Linked DNA regions of Arabidopsis thaliana. The protein of the gene in region 2 interacts with the protein of the main gene of each other region in a pairwise test. Each region holds a gene or a part of one and is shown on either strand. Other genes may lie near its edges. The genes, in order: AT2G45810, DCP5 and PRMT11.

The links.
Region 1: the proteins of DCP5 (region 2) and AT2G45810 interact in a two-hybrid assay, tested with the Arabidopsis thaliana proteins (one large-scale study listed by BioGRID).
Region 3: the proteins of DCP5 (region 2) and PRMT11 interact in a two-hybrid assay, tested with the Arabidopsis thaliana proteins (one large-scale study listed by BioGRID).

Annotation. Positions count from the first base shown.
Region 1 is NC_003071.7:18,857,646-18,863,593, forward strand, and holds AT2G45810 (DEA(D/H)-box RNA helicase family protein), read left to right. Parts: upstream 1-1,826; 5' UTR 1,827-2,190; coding exon 2,191-2,567; intron 2,568-2,654; coding exon 2,655-2,715; intron 2,716-2,802; coding exon 2,803-3,037; intron 3,038-3,184; coding exon 3,185-3,423; intron 3,424-3,644; coding exon 3,645-3,896; intron 3,897-3,989; coding exon 3,990-4,170; intron 4,171-4,247; coding exon 4,248-4,336; intron 4,337-4,435; coding exon 4,436-4,509; intron 4,510-4,594; coding exon 4,595-4,673; 3' UTR 4,674-4,724; intron 4,725-4,819; 3' UTR 4,820-5,325; downstream 5,326-5,948. Other genes in the region: PMM (phosphomannomutase), read left to right, coding at 56-108; PLIM2a (GATA type zinc finger transcription factor family protein), read right to left, coding at 508-924, 1,008-1,136, 1,228-1,362; AT2G45820 (Remorin family protein), read right to left, coding at 5,502-5,778, 5,851-5,938. UniProt on the Arabidopsis thaliana protein: ATP-dependent RNA helicase involved in mRNA turnover, and more specifically in mRNA decapping.
Region 2 is NC_003070.9:9,023,819-9,029,690, reverse strand, and holds DCP5 (decapping 5), read left to right. Parts: upstream 1-1,735; 5' UTR 1,736-2,134; coding exon 2,135-2,285; intron 2,286-2,589; coding exon 2,590-2,690; intron 2,691-2,769; coding exon 2,770-2,844; intron 2,845-2,934; coding exon 2,935-3,894; intron 3,895-4,066; coding exon of another isoform or gene 4,067-4,086; intron 4,087-4,179; coding exon 4,180-4,251; intron 4,252-4,379; coding exon 4,380-4,553; intron 4,554-4,633; coding exon 4,634-4,744; intron 4,745-4,883; coding exon 4,884-5,075; 3' UTR 5,076-5,350; downstream 5,351-5,872. Other genes in the region: ICME-LIKE1 (alpha/beta-Hydrolases superfamily protein), read left to right, coding at 297-362, 472-615, 706-796, 883-1,035; AT1G26100 (Cytochrome b561/ferric reductase transmembrane protein family), read left to right, coding at 5,610-5,732, 5,826-5,872. UniProt on the Arabidopsis thaliana protein: As a component of the decapping complex, involved in the degradation of mRNAs. Promotes P-body formation. Translational repressor.
Region 3 is NC_003075.7:14,490,017-14,494,574, forward strand, and holds PRMT11 (arginine methyltransferase 11), read left to right. Parts: upstream 1-1,605; 5' UTR 1,606-1,722; coding exon 1,723-1,960; intron 1,961-2,055; coding exon 2,056-2,066; intron 2,067-2,188; coding exon 2,189-2,344; intron 2,345-2,440; coding exon 2,441-2,504; intron 2,505-2,584; coding exon 2,585-2,727; intron 2,728-2,817; coding exon 2,818-2,905; intron 2,906-3,012; coding exon 3,013-3,128; intron 3,129-3,218; coding exon 3,219-3,369; intron 3,370-3,530; coding exon 3,531-3,736; 3' UTR 3,737-3,985; downstream 3,986-4,558. Other genes in the region: AT4G29490 (Metallopeptidase M24 family protein), read left to right, coding at 12-53, 195-265, 460-513, 594-699, 796-864, 951-1,094, 1,204-1,305; AT4G29520 (nucleophosmin), read right to left, coding at 4,040-4,228, 4,350-4,481. UniProt on the Arabidopsis thaliana protein: Methylates (mono and asymmetric dimethylation) the guanidino nitrogens of arginyl residues present in a glycine and arginine-rich domain. Type I arginine methyltransferase active on both histones and non-histone proteins.

The DNA.
Region 1 (5,948 bases), on a different chromosome or scaffold from region 2:
ATGTTTGTGTTGCGAGATATTTTCATGACAAATAGGATTGTTTCTGTTGTTGCAGTTACGAGTCCAGATGACACAGTGGCAAAATGCAAGGCTCTGTTCATGTCTTGAAACACTACTCATCTCAAGAACACAGTGTCAAGAGTTTGATTCTTCTTTGGCGAAATCTCACAACTCTTGATTACAAGAAATGGAGAGAAGTGTGTTTGAATGCTATCTATACCGTATGTTTTGAATTTTGATTCATCAAATAAAATATCTTGTTATAACCTTTTGTTTCAGAACATGGTCCTCAAAGTTTTAAAACTAAAGGTTAAAAATATCCTCTTCAAAAAAAATTGGATGTTAAAGATTTTGTTTACAACAGATTCTCTCCAAAAAGAGCTTTAAAACTTTACAAGAATTTACAAGAAGAAACAACAACAATTTGTATTTATATATTCATTAAACAGAAACGCATATAAAAACTTCAAACTTGAGAACTGATAAGATCATTCCTCCACGACATTTTCAAGACTCAACGACCGGCTCAGGCTCCTCTTCTCCTGCAGCTTCAGGGGCAGCGTCATCTTCTTTTGCTTCGGGAATTGAGGCGGTGTCGTCAGGTTTGTGATCATCAGAAGGAGGAGAAGCGCCACCAGAAGAGGCGGATCGACGGTGGTTAGCAGCGGCTTGATGGACGTGATTGTAACTGCCTTTCTCGAGAAAGAGCTGATTGAAGTGGACTTTACAGTAGAGGACGCCATTAAGAGAAGCGTAAGAAGAGTGAGTCAAAGGACAACCACTGTGTGTGCACCTGAAGCAAGTCTTGTGGTAACTTTCTCCTTCCATTGTTACTTTCTCAAGTGGGTAAACCGTCTTCTTACAAGTCGCACATTTGTCTTGTGTTCCACTGAAGAATGATGATAACTTGCTTGGAGTTCGAGTCTTGCAGTATCCATCAATTGAGACAAATCAGATGAAAAAAAAGAGGAAATAAAAACAAGATGATGAATCTTTGAAGACATTACCAGATGATCATTGGGCTTCTCGGTCTTTCCTGCCTGAAAATTCTTGCTGTAATTGCCAGATTCTTTGAAAAGCTGTTCGAAGTGTGGCTTACAGTAAAGAACTCCATCCATTGATGAGTAATTGCTTATCTGTGTTAAGAAAAGATGTGGTCTTTTAAAACAATGAAGCATTGTCGAAAAACAGAGTAACAATGGAGGAAGAAGAAGAAAAGAGAAATACCACGAGAGTGCCTTTGCAATGGGTGCATCTGAAACATGATTTGTGATAAGTATTACCCTCTAATGTTAACAAATCCATCACGTACACGGTTTTGTCACAGGCCTTGCATTTATCCAATGTTCCTGTAAACGACATTTTCTCTCTTTCTTTCGGATGTTAGATTCAAAAAGTTTGTTCTTCGTTCGCCGGTTCTTGTCTTAGGACACGACCAAACGACGACGAGAGAAAAAACACCAGGTTTTGTGTTTTTTTCTTTTCATCTCTCAAGTTCTCTGTCTTATTTATCAAAAATTCTTGAAGAAATGAGAATTTGTGGTAATTTTGGTTCTAGTGGTAGAGATTCGAAAGAGGAGAAGCCATTCAATCATTGTCGATCATCAAAATTCTAATTTCAATTTTACAATTTTAGACTCCGAGCACAATGAAGGGTATCGACGTTTTCAGCCGTACGCTCTGTTTGCGGAAGATCCGAAGATCTATTTTTAAAAATTACGAGAGAATAATGATAAATACAAAGAAATGTGGGGGTTATTTCATAATTATACGAACGTACAAGGCTAATTTAGTGAAATAAATGTGGATAAGAGTGAGTGAAACTGAAGAAGAGCCTGTCCGTGTAATGAAAATCCACTTGACGACCTAAACAACAACAACGACTCCGGCGAGTGTATGTATCTTTCACTTTCTCACTAACCAACCAGACGACAAAAGAAAATTATTCATCTTAGCTAAGCTCGATTAGTTTCTGGCGGAAACGGTTTTGTGGATAATTGTTAGCATATTCCGATCTTGCCCTCCCCCGAGAGAGAGAGTCCAATCAATCAATCAATCAATCATCTCTTACGAAGCTACGTGTGACCTAACATTCTCCAGATTGTTGTTTATAGCCTCTTCTTAGATTTACGATTTGTGAGCTTGTGAAGATTTCTTGGTAGAATTAGAGTTCTCTGTTTCGAGATCGAGATGAATAATAATAATAATAATAGAGGAAGATTTCCACCGGGGATTGGTGCGGCGGGTCCTGGTCCGGATCCTAATTTTCAGTCACGGAATCCGAATCCACCTCAGCCTCAACAGTACCTTCAGTCACGGACTCCGTTTCCACAGCAACCTCAGCCTCAGCCTCCTCAGTATCTCCAGTCTCAATCTGATGCTCAGCAGTACGTTCAGCGAGGTTATCCCCAGCAGATTCAACAGCAACAGCAACTGCAGCAGCAACAACAACAACAACAGCAGCAGCAAGAACAACAATGGTCTCGACGGGCTCAGCTTCCTGGTGATCCAAGTTACATAGATGAGGTCGAAAAAACGGTTCAATCTGAAGCTATTAGCGATTCTAAGTAAGTGCTCGTTTGGAAGAATGGTTATTATGAATGGTGCTCTTGTTGTGATGTTTAACGGGTTATGTGTTTTCTTATGCTTATCAGTAATGAAGACTGGAAAGCAACCTTAAAGCTGCCACCACGAGATAATCGTTACCAGACAGAGGTATGAATGATTGCATAGTTATATGATTTTTGTTTTGACAAGACAGCAGTTCCCTTAGAACTTAGTTTTTCCATATCTTGTCTTCAGGATGTGACTGCCACTAAAGGAAATGAATTTGAAGATTACTTTTTGAAGAGGGATCTGCTTAGGGGAATATATGAGAAGGGTTTTGAAAAACCATCTCCTATTCAGGAAGAAAGCATTCCCATTGCTTTGACTGGTAGTGATATTCTTGCTAGAGCCAAAAATGGTACTGGGAAGACTGGTGCCTTCTGCATTCCTACCCTTGAGAAAATTGATCCAGAGAACAATGTCATTCAAGGTTTTTTACTTTCCTTTTAGAACTTTTCTCTGTTAAAAGATCTCCTACCTTTCTCTGTAGTGAGTTAGTTGATCAGTGGAACTTCCAGTGAAACCCTACTTTCTTACTGAGTTTTCAGTACTTTTGTTGATCTTTTTTCTTATGCAGCCGTAATTCTAGTTCCAACCCGAGAGCTCGCCCTTCAGACATCCCAGGTTTGCAAGGAGCTTTCCAAATATTTGAAAATTGAGGTTATGGTCACCACTGGCGGTACCAGTCTGAGGGATGATATCATGCGATTGTATCAACCTGTCCATTTACTGGTTGGAACTCCTGGAAGAATATTAGATCTTGCCAAAAAGGGTGTGTGTGTTTTGAAAGATTGTGCCATGCTTGTAATGGATGAGGTGAGTTCCTAATTCTATTACCCCTGAGCTAGATTTTTCTTATTAACAAACATTGTTGGATTTTTGCCCAAAAGGACATTTCTAGTTTTTCCCTGAACATAACTTTCTCTAAAGTTAAAACAAAATCGATTCCTCTTATGCTTCATATTTGCAGATTTTGATTGAATAATTTTCTTTTCCTCATGAGCTCATGGTCTTAACTCGCAAACATCTTTTTTCAGGCCGACAAGCTTTTGTCTGTAGAATTTCAACCTTCTATAGAGGAGTTGATACAGTTCTTGCCAGAGAGCCGGCAGATTTTGATGTTTTCAGCTACATTTCCTGTCACTGTGAAGTCTTTCAAGGATCGGTATCTCAAGAAGCCTTACATTATCAATCTCATGGATCAGCTCACACTTATGGGTGTTACCCAATATTATGCTTTTGTTGAAGAGAGACAGAAGGTGCACTGCCTTAACACGCTATTCTCTAAGGTCAGAGTTTTGTTACAGTCTTAAAACCCCAATGTTTTATTTTCTGGCTACTTGATGTATCTTTTAAAGGAAATATTGTTTTATCTATTGCAGCTCCAAATAAACCAATCCATTATCTTTTGCAACTCTGTTAATCGTGTTGAGCTGTTGGCCAAGAAAATTACAGAACTTGGTTACTCATGCTTCTATATCCATGCAAAGATGGTTCAAGACCATCGGAACAGGGTTTTCCATGATTTCCGCAATGGTGCATGCAGAAATCTTGTTTGCACTGGTACGTTTTGTGTATTTCATGTGCTTGAACATTGACAAATGTGTTTATGTTTCACGGGGAATGTCTGTCTGTTGCAGATTTGTTTACACGTGGGATTGACATTCAAGCTGTGAATGTGGTGATAAATTTCGATTTTCCTAGGACTTCTGAGTCGTATCTACATAGGGTATGTTAAGGGAAGCCGATTTTGGTTTATCTTCTTGAGAACCTGCTCTGTTTTATTTGTTCAAATTGTGAATGGGTTTTTGCTTCATTATATTACCAGGTAGGCAGATCAGGACGATTTGGACACCTTGGGTTGGCTGTGAATTTGGTAACTTATGAGGACCGCTTCAAAATGTTCGTGTTTCTTTTTCTCAACTGGTGTGGCCTCTCTTTTCATAGATGCTATAGCTTTCTTACTCAATTATTTGGTTTCCAACAGGTATCAGACAGAGCAAGAACTTGGAACTGAAATCAAGCCCATACCTTCACTTATCGACAAGGCAATCTACTGTCAGTAACTTCTACCTGGTGTACATTCTCTACCCGGCAAGGCATTGATGGACTAACCGGTGAGACAAATCCCTCTCTAGGCATCTTGACATTAGAACTAACCTGCATTGCTCATAGACCAAATTTCCATTGATTTTGGTTTGCGGTTATTTAGGTGTAGTGAGGAGGCAAATCATTCAGCTTTGGCAGCCACTAGCTCGTTCTAGAGATGAAGGCAACACATAGAGTACTGTACTGAGGCAAGAAGAGACAGTATAGGTGGTTGATGGCGATGGAAGCGGTTGATTGTGTCTAAACCTTTAAAGCAGTACCGGCTTGATTTGGTTTGAATTGAAGACTTCTTCTGCTGCATGATATGAACCTTAAAGTTGTCTTCTCTCATCTCTAATTTTCATGTTCTTAGAAACCTTTTCACCTTTTCATTTTGATGTTCTCTCATCTTGAAGACTTGAGAGGAATTTCCGAGTAGTGAGATCAAACCGAAGAAGACATTTTAACTTCATTCGCTTGTTTATTGCTTTTAGATCTCCACCTGTGCCTGAACTGTTTAAGGATTATAGTTGGTGTGTGTCAAGTCAAGTGTCTTAGCATTTTAAGAGTTACAGATCAGATGTGAAGTCGTACAACTGAAACAAAAGGCAAAACAAGATTTGATGCTTCATACAATTATACTCCATTAATCTTTCACTTTTACACACAATCACCCAATATGTAAACAAGACACAAACGACCAAACAAATAACAAAAACTAAAAAGAGTTGTTGAATCACACAAAAACAAAAGAAGAAGAAAGAAACAGAGATGAATTGTTACAAAGATACAAATTCAATAAAGGCTTAGAAACATCCACACGTTGCCTTTGGTACTACACCAGTGGCTCTATACTTAGCACCCATTTCTTCAGCTTTGAGAAGCTCTTCTCCTTTTTTAGCTTCAACCATTGCTCTCTTCTCTTCTGCTAACTTGTGGATTGCAGCTACTTTGTTCTTCATTTTCTCACCGTACTGCGCTTTTTTCTTCTCTAATTTTTCCTCGATCTTCCTAAGTTGAGCTTCTACGGCTGCTTTCTTGCTATTTTCCCAAGCATGCACATCAGAGATCTTCTTTTGTGCCCTGTCCATTTCAAGATCATCAGAGATCTGTAAGCAATAGTAATCTTTGGGTGAGAAGATGATGAAAGTTTACCTGTTCTCAGCCTTTGACTTCTCACTCTCTTCCCATGCTTTGATGAATGACGTTTTCTTCTCTTTTTCCAAGTCGGCAAGTATCACATCTGACCAAAC
Region 2 (5,872 bases):
ATAAGGATAAGACGATACATTGGAATGTAAATTTTTCTGTCAAGAAGTTGAGAAAAACAAGTTTCTTTAATTGCCTGAGTATTTATATATGTGTTAACTCCAGTTTTTATCTAGCCACCAAGGTCTTTTGTAGAAATGCTAGGCAATTCGTAGAACGGTGAAGTAATGGTCAAATATTAGCTCAAAGTAGCAAGTAGATTCCTGCCTTCTACCCAACTAAAGCAACAAATTTTTTGATGAGGCCTCACATCATCTGCTTGGCTATTCTTAACAAACTTTGTGATCGTGATCTACAGATACAACCTTTTGAACCTTGTGGACCACTTCCATAGCAGGGGGCTGTACCGTTCCATCTTTCTGAGGTATAGCATTTTCTCTTTTGGAATCTTGGTATAGCTTACGTTACTCACCTGGCCAGTAGAGCAGCCTGAAATTTTTACAGTTTAACGTGTGACGTTTGATTTTCCTCAGCATCATGGAAGGAGAGGAATCATTAAGGCAGTTCTCTCCTGAATTAGTAGTGCAAAACCCGAATCTCAAACACATCATTGCTCGTCTCCCACCTTTTATTTTATTCCATGGTACTGATGACTACTCCATCCCGTCAGATGCAAGGTATGGTTTAACTTTTGTGTGTATTTGTCTGTCTTATGTATATCAGAAAGTTAAGATGATGATTGAACTTCTATTACACTATCTTTGCAGTAAATCTTTTGCGGAAACCCTCCAGAGGCTTGGGGCCAAAGCAAAAGTGATCCTTTACGAGGGGAAAACACACACGGATTTGTTTCTTCAGGTAAAATGGCCGGTCTTTTTGAGGTATGAATGTCTTGTCGGACAAGAACCTGAATTTTGATCTAGAAACTTGGTTATCTATGTTAGGATCCAATGAGAGGTGGAATAGATGAGATGTTTGAAGATATAGTAACAGTGGTTCTGGGAGACGATCAAGAAGCGATTGGTAAAAGCGTAGATAGAAGGCGTCTTGTACCTGAATTCATGTTGAAGTTGGCTCACTGGGTCAGTCCGTTCTAACTCCTACACTCTTATCTCCCAGAAGATCAAAGGAAGTACATTCCTTCTTCCAGTGATACAGACGGGTCAATGTGCATATTACTTAACAAGGAAAACAGATCCCACTATACTTTGACGATACAGATGATTTTGAACTTTGATGATGATGATATTGTATCCCGGTTTGCAAATACACTGATTATTTCGTCATTGCCTGTTTGTGTTTTTGTAGAACACTGAAAGTGCATTAAAGAAACAAGGCTTCATTGACTTTGTCACCTTAATTAAACTGTCTTTGGTCTTCTTCTTCTCTGATCATTAATCATTGGTTGCACTATTTTCTTGGCATCAGTTGACTTCTCTACCTATATACAAAGTGCCGAACCAGTGTCATTTAACAAGGAAGAAATGTAGGTCTGATTTTTTTTTTAATAATTAAAACTCTCCAAAGGTGTGATTTTCTTGAGAAAAAAAGGTGTGATTTTCTTGACAAAAAAAGGTGTGATTTTCTTAACCCCAATTTTCAACTAAAAATGTAGGTGAAATCACCAAAAATATTTCTCAAAATTCATTTTTTAAAAGGCCTTTTAATTTATGAATAACACTAGATTTGATACTAGGATTAATATGTAAATAATAAGCTCTAACCATCCTACCAAAATAAAATAATAAACTCTAACCAGAGTAAGCAATCAGAACACGAGCCGTGGGATTGGAATGGCTCGAGTAGGCTCGTAGCTACTCGCCTAAACACACCATTGGCGGTGAATTACGAAATAAACCCTTCGCGTGTACACGAGGCATACTTCGGTTAGTGATTAGAGAGAAGTCAATGGAGCCATACTAGGCTATAATGGTCAGATTGATATTATTTTCTGAATTGGGCTTTTATGGGAATGGATAATAAAAAAGAGATGCTCGATCTCCCCAAATTAGAGTAAACCCTAATTGTGTATCTGTAGCTTTCTCTCTCTCTCTCTCTCTCTCTCTCGCGAAGAAGAAGAAGAAGAAGGAGATCAAGGAACTCGAAGTGTGTGTGTGTGTGTTTGCCTTCTCTTGTCTTTTAGTTTTTTCTCTCTTTGGCTGTGATTTCGTCGGCGAAGAGAGACATAGATCGGATATGGCGGCTGATAATACGGGTTCGAAATCGAGCTCCGCTGCGGATTCTTACGTTGGGAGCTTGATTAGTTTGACATCTAAGAGTGAGATCAGATACGAAGGGATCCTTTACAATATTAATACAGATGAATCCAGTATCGGACTTCAAAACGGTACGATCCGTTTCCACTTCCGTTTCGGGATTACCAGATTTGTTAAGTGTTAATTTTGGTGGTGTTTTCTCTCGGATTTGGTAGAAACTAATGGTTTCTTCCGTTAATCGTTAAGAAAGTTTTCTCCAATCTGAACTGTTTAGCTCGATTTGAAAGGAATGTTGTTTTAGTGCTCATGTCTATTACTTGAGTTCTCAAATTGTAATTGATGTCTTGAAACTATTGGTTGAGCATAAAAGATCAGTGTTTAAGTGGTCGATGAGGTAGATTTTGGTTCTGATCCCTGAACTTTTGTTGTGTGTAGTTCGATCATTTGGAACTGAAGGAAGGAAAAAAGATGGTCCACAAGTTCCTCCAAGTGACAAAGTTTACGAGTACATATTGTTCCGTGGAACTGATATCAAGGTATTCAGCAGGATTATGCTAATACTTCTATGTAAGTAGCCTGCCGATTTTGTACTCTGATTGTTCTTGTTGTTGGTAGGATTTGCAAGTCAAAGCTTCTCCACCAGTTCAGCCTCCTGCATCTACTATAAATAATGACCCTGCTATAATTCAGGTGAATGTTAGAAAAGTTGTAAGATTACATTGTCTGGGATTTTGGAGTCAATTGATGTAACCCCATCCTCCACTTGTCTTGGTTTTGCAGTCTCACTACCCTAGCCCGATGCCAACATCTGGTAGCTTGCCTTCTACTGCGAGCGGGTCACTACCTGACATTAGTTCTCATAATGGACAACCTGGACAACATGGAATGGGATTTCAAAACGCAATGCCTTTGTATCAGCCTGGTGGAAATCTTGGTTCATGGGGAGCGTCACCACAACCACCAATGTATTGGCAAGGTTTCTACACCCCACCTCCCAATGGCCTTCCCCAATTGCATCAGCAGTCTCTGATTCGACCCCCTCATGGGCTGCCAATGCCCAACTCTCTTCAGCAACCCCTGCAATATCCTAACTTTAATACCCCTCCTCCACCTACTGGGTCATCATCTTTGCAGGGGTCAAGCTTGCCAGAAGCACCCTCTTCATTGTTTCCTTTTAGTACCAGTTCTCAAATGTTAGCTCCTAGTTCATTGCCTTTCCCTGGTCTACCACCTGTGACGCTCTCGTCTAGCCTGCAGTCTACACTGCAATCAGCACCATCTCCTTCACTAGCTTCAGAGATGGCACCTCCGTTGCTGTCAAACAAAGCTCCTATTACTGCTCCTCCTACCCTACCTCAGGATACTAATTTGCTTTCGTTTTCTCTATCTACTACGAGAGCCACAGAAGCAAGTACTGGCCTTCCACTGTCTAACAAGCCTAGTGTAGTAACTGGTCCAATTTCTCCGCCGCAGACAACACCATTAACATCTGCTCCTGTTGCGGGAGTTTCTAGTTCCATTAGCCAAGATAAGCCAAAACCTTTGTTGGTTACTCCTGGTCAACTGCTGCAGTCTGGATCTTCTGCAGTCTCTTTGTCCCCACCCTCGACAAATGCTGATAAAGATGTTGAGGTGGTTCAAGTATCGTCATCAGCTGGGTTGGAACAATCTGTTCCAGTTACATCCGAAGCCCAACCTCCAATACTGCCATTGCCTTCCTCTGCAAGACCAACTCAGAAGGTTTTTAACTTACATAACATGCCAAATCCTTCAATGTCTCTTATTAATATCATAAAGAACCTTGAATTTGCTGGTGTCTTAGTTAGCTGGAATAAGGTGTAACTGTTATAACTGCACCTGTGGTAATTCCCATTTTAATATTCCATGCTGTGTCTCTTTTGCTTTGTTGAAGATGCATGAAAATCTCTCAGGGTTCTTTGGTGTATAAGATGGTTTCTTTGCATGTCTACTTATAAGTCTTCATGGTGAAATTATTTAAACTCAATTGCTGATTTTTTTTCTCAGCCAAACGGGCATTCTTTCCCAAATCATAATGGTTACAGGGGACGTGGAAGAGGACGAGGAAGAGGAGCAGGGGTACTATTCTTCTCACTCATTTGTAGAATGTGACGGCATTTATTTGTTTTTACCAAGGAAAAGATCTACCAGTTTAAAATAGCTCATGAACTTTAGCCATGTATGCTAATAATTCTTCTTGTTGGCAGAGATCACACCAAGTAATGAAATTCACTGAAGATTTTGATTTCACAGCAATGAACGAAAAGTTCAATAAGGATGAAGTATGGGGTCATCTTGGGAAGAGTACTACCTTAGATGGTGATGAAGATGATGATTCCCCGACTGTAGATGAGGCTGAGCTTCCTAAGATCGAGGCCAAAGTAAGTGAAGTAGACTTATAATCAAGTAAAGCCACCATATTCTCCCTCTCTGGTCTCATCCACATTGTTTATTGATGTAGCCTGTTTACAACAAAGATGACTTTTTCGATAGCCTATCATCAAACACCATTGACCGAGAGTCCCAAAATTCAAGGCCTAGGTTCTCAGAGCAACGGAAACTAGATACTGAGGTACAATCTATATATTTCCACACTCTGAATAGCAAGCAGACTGGACAGAGTTTGTCCCCCCTCGTTGCTGGAGATACTCGAATTCCCAGAATCGTAAGAGAATCCCATTGACTAACAGAACGTATTGCTATGATTTCAGACATTTGGTGAATTCTCGAGATTCCGAGGAGGTCGAGGAGGGCGTGGTGGTTATGGACGAAACAACGGTTACTCACGTGGTGGTTATGGAGGGCGTGGTTATGGCGGTTATGGTGGCCGTGGCGGCGGCGGCGGTGGCTACGGGTATGGTGGACGTGGCCAGGGGAGAGGCGTATCAAATCGTACTACCTAAACTGTTCTGCTAGAAAGGGCTCTAAAGACTCAAAATCCAATGGGAGCTCAGCTCTTGAGTGCTTTTGGTATGTGGCAATAAAACAAAAACCGAGTCCCGTGTAATGTTTTCTGTTATAAAACCCCACTTGTGTGGTTTTGGAGTGTATTAATTTGATTTCTGATCTTTGTTTTTAAGACTTGGTAATAGCGTCGTTCTTCTTATATCCAATGTTATTTTGAACTTTTGTATACTCGACATTTGGTGTGAAATGCATTTTCTATTTACTCTCAATAGCTTGTTGCTGTTTACTGTTGGTAGCTTCTTGTCTAAATTTCAAAAGTCAAACATTTTGACTTTCAATACAGTACCAGCAGCCTTGAATCAAATGGGCCTTATTAAGAGATAGAGAGGTCTTCTTTATACAAGATCCATAAAATGTCCTCTCTATTTCTCAAATTATCATTTTGTCGGCAACTCTAGTGTCTGAGAGACTGTAGTCACTGTACTCTACAGTAGCACTACTTACTCAACTTTTGAAGAGAGAAAACAGAAATGGGAAGTGTAGATCCTTCAAGACTATCATTGGTCTTGTTTGCGAGACTGTCCGGTTTAGTAGTCGCAGTTTCGGTTCTGTACTGGGCTCTCTTCCTGCCTAATCTAGGACTCAGCTACTCTGTAACTATCACACTCCCTTCCTCGTTGATATCAAATTGGATCTCTCTCTCTCTCTCTCTTTCTCTCTCTAATAAAGTTTTTATACCCTTGTAGACTCTTCATCCTCTGCTGATGGTGATTGGCTTCATTCTTGTAAGTGG
Region 3 (4,558 bases), on a different chromosome or scaffold from region 2:
TTGGTGTGCAGGTCAATGGTAAATTTACAAGTGACCAGAGTCTAATCTACAATGTAAGTGCCTTACAAGATTGGTGCAACGTGGATGTATTAGAAATGTGTGCTCTATTTTTTGTCTTCGCACAATCCAGAGTTTGGTGAGTCTCTTGAAGCTTTACATCTGAATAAGTTTCTCTGATTTTGCCTTCCTTTCAGGCTGTTCTGGATGCACATAATTCTGTAATCTCTGCGATGAAGCCAGGAGTAAACTGGGTGGATATGCACAAGTAAGTCTTACTGAGATGCTATATAGCTCTGTTCTACTATGCATGCAGATGCAGTAATTGGGATTGACAATGTAAGCGTAAACTCAGTTGCTTTGGTCCATTTTGATTTATCCTCTTGTTAGGGAGATAAATTGAAATACATCTCCATATGGTTATTCAGCTTTCTTTGTCGACTGAAGCAAATTAATGTACAGGTTAGCTGAAAAAATCATCCTTGAGTCACTGAAGAAGGGGTCCATACTCACTGGGTAATTCTCTCTGTGTTAGACATTTCAATACTCTTCTCTAAAGGTTAATTCATTCTCATGGTTTCGTTCTCTGTTCCTAGTGATGTAGATGACATGATGGTACAGCGCTTGGGTGCTGTTTTCATGCCTCATGGACTAGGTCACTTCATGGGCATCGACACTCACGATACTGGTGGCTACCCAAAGGTACATCAAATCTTTTTTCAACCCAATAGTATCATCACGTAAATAAAACCACAGTCCCTGTGTCTTACCCGTTGCTTTGATCTTTCATTCTTTTAGGGAGTGGAGAGACCAAAGAAACCTGGATTGAAGTCATTACGAACTGCAAGAGACCTACTTGAAGGAATGGTAAGGGCCGATTGTTTCAAGTAGAAATGCTTTTGGTTCTTCTCATTTATCGTCTCTGTTCATTGTCCTAATCGTATTTATGTCAGGTAATAACGGTGGAACCAGGATGCTATTTCATCAAGGCATTGCTGTTCCCAGCCATGGCAAACGCAACAACCTCTAAGTTCTTCAACCGTGAAACAATAGAGAGATTCAGAAATTTCGGAGGTGTCAGAATCGAAAGCGATTTGGTAATGTCAAATTCATATTCACTACAACGTCTACAAGTTAAAACACTCTCAAGAGTAATGTCATATACAATAATCTCATTTTGTTGTATATGTGTGATTTCTTTTTTAGGTCGTTACTGCTAATGGCTGCAAGAACATGACGAATGTTCCACGAGAGACATGGGAGATCGAAGCTGTGATGGCTGGAGGGCCTTGGCCACCGACCAAGTGATCGTAGCTACTCTTAGGCAGCTTATGGAAATTAAAAACTTGATAAGTAAAACTCAATAATACAACCTTTATTTTTGTTAATGGGAATAAGGAAAAATTGCCTGTGTTTTACTAATCTTGTACATGTAGTTTATTTTGTTTCAGTGTCTTGTTTGTGTGGTTGGATATTAAACCGATTGAATGTTCAAGTGGACAGATAAAATCTAACCGGTTTGGTGCTTGTCGACGAAAACCGAACCGGTACAGAAAATATCTTGAGCACAATTTTAGTTCTAATATAAAATTCATTAACAAGAGAGAAAAAAAAAACTTCAAATTAAAAGCTTCGTGTCTTCATAAAACCCTAATCTCGCGACTTCGTCTCTATCCCCAAAAACCCTTTCCTCTCTTCCTTCTTGTGTGAGACCGAGAAAAAAAGATGACTAAGAACAGTAACCACGACGAGAATGAGTTCATCAGCTTTGAACCAAATCAGAACACGAAGATACGCTTTGAAGATGCTGATGAAGACGAAGTTGCTGAAGGGTCTGGTGTTGCCGGCGAGGAAACTCCCCAAGATGAGTCCATGTTCGACGCCGGAGAGAGCGCCGACACCGCTGAAGTAACTGATGATACCACCAGTGCCGATTACTACTTCGATTCTTACTCTCACTTTGGTAAATTCCCTTTTTTCAAGTTCTATTTTTTTCCTTGTGCTCTTTGGTTATGAATTCTTACTAAGAGTTGAATTTGGTTCCACTTTTTTTTGCAGGAATCCATGAAGTAAGTATCGAGGACAAAGCTCAGTTTTTTTTGTTATAGTTTTTGTTCTAGAAGTTTAATGTAATTCATTGTGTTTTCTTCTGTATATATCTGATGACTGAATTGAGAATGGTATCTGACAGGAGATGTTGAAGGATGTTGTGAGAACAAAGACTTATCAGAATGTTATTTATCAGAACAAGTTTCTTATCAAGGACAAAATTGTTCTTGATGTTGGAGCTGGAACCGGAATTTTGTCTCTGTTCTGTGCCAAGGCAGGAGCTGCTCATGTCTACGCTGTATGTCTTCAATCTTTCAGTCTCTTTTTTAATAATCATAAGTAAGAAGAATCTTTTTCAATTTTGACTGATTTGATTGAGGATGTTTCTTAATAGGTTGAGTGTTCTCAAATGGCTGACATGGCAAAGGAGATTGTTAAAGCTAATGGATTTTCTGATGGTAGGTCTTTTATCCATGTTGAGTTGTATTCAAATCGATAACTTCTGTTCTGTAACATGATTTTTGTTTTATCGATGCAGTTATTACGGTATTGAAAGGGAAGATTGAGGAGATAGAGCTTCCCACTCCTAAAGTGGATGTGATTATATCGGAATGGATGGGTTACTTTTTGTTGTTTGAAAATATGTTGGACAGTGTCTTGTATGCTCGTGATAAATGGCTTGTAAGTTACAGCTCCACCTTGTTACATGAGATTCTTAGTTACCAAAACCAATTAAATGAAATCTTCTTGGTCCTGTGTTTTTATGGATAGGTTGAAGGTGGAGTTGTGCTACCAGACAAAGCCTCTCTGCATCTTACAGCCATAGAGGATTCAGAGTACAAAGAAGACAAAATCGAATGTGAGTGCATTGATTTGACACGTTTTCTCGTCTTTTTTTTTCCAACATTGATCTTGATGTCTGTTGAGATTTGCATTTTTAATTTCTTTTTTGTTGTTCTGCTACAGTTTGGAACAGTGTGTATGGTTTTGACATGTCATGTATTAAGAAAAAAGCTATGATGGAACCACTTGTTGACACAGTCGACCAAAACCAAATCGTCACCGATAGTAGGCTTCTAAAGGTATATAAGATATCATATGATGATGATTAGTAGTATCTCTTTACCTGTGTGACTAATGTTCATTTCATTATTCTTATGGGTTTGTAACAGACGATGGATATCTCAAAGATGTCCTCTGGTGATGCTTCCTTCACAGCTCCCTTTAAGCTTGTTGCACAACGCAATGACTACATCCACGCCCTTGTAGCCTACTTTGATGTATCGTTTACCATGTGCCACAAGCTGCTGGGCTTCTCAACAGGTTCAGATCTCTACAATCTTGTGCTAGCTCTGAGTATTCTATTTTTTTTTGGTGCAAAGAAATGGCATGTTATCGAATAACTTGGTTTGAAGTTTAAACATAGCACATTGTTTCATTATGATCTGAAACTTGCACTGAACAACCATATGTGTCACATGCAGGACCGAAATCCCGAGCTACACACTGGAAACAAACAGTTCTGTATCTAGAAGATGTGTTAACCATATGTGAGGGTGAGACAATCACTGGAACTATGTCCGTTTCTCCTAACAAGAAGAATCCTCGAGACATTGACATAAAGCTAAGCTATTCTTTGAATGGCCAGCATTGCAAGATCTCAAGGACCCAACACTACAAAATGCGTTAAAGTTCTCTCATAAGAAGCAGAACTTCAGAAGATACAATTCTCATATTGTGATTTAGTTTTTATATTTCTTTTTCTCCAGATTACAACTTTCCATTTGCTTCACATTGCAACATTTGCTTCATCTCAAGTTAAATTAATGATTTTGCTCTAAACCATCTCGTGTATGTTCCTTGTTGATCACAAAACTGATGTCTGTCAACACTTTTCAATATTCTCTCCAAAAGATTATAGAAACTAAAGGAAATCTACAAAAAGCAAGTGTGAAGAAAGAGTACATTAAACAAAACCAGTTTAAAACTGTTTCTATAGCTCAGACTTTCCGGATTTAGGTTTCTTTGAAGAAGACGATCCAAGTCCTTTCCACCATCTCCGGACCCGGTTTGACACTTTCTGTGCATGTCTCTTCAGAGCCTCACCTTTCTTCTTGAACTCCTTAGTGATTGTCTTCTTCAATTCTTCTGTTTTACTCTCTTTCTCTTTCAAAACTTTTCCCTAAAAACCAACAAAACCATACAAGTGTTTTAGAGAAAAGAAAGAAAGATCTCGGTTTCCTTCTTCTTCATGAAAGTTTAACCCAAAGATTTGATCATTTGAAAAAAGAAACTTTATGTACCAAGTTCTTGGGAAACTTATCATCTTCTTCCTCATCTTCATCATCGTCGCCATCATCATCTTCATTACCGATATTCCCCTTCTCTATATCTTCTCTAGAGTATACCTTCATGCCAGGTGCTCCTGGCATACCCTGAACATAGCGGTAAAGAGTAAGCTTAAGATCATTCCATGGATATGCATTCCTTGCTTAGTGGTATTGATTGACGT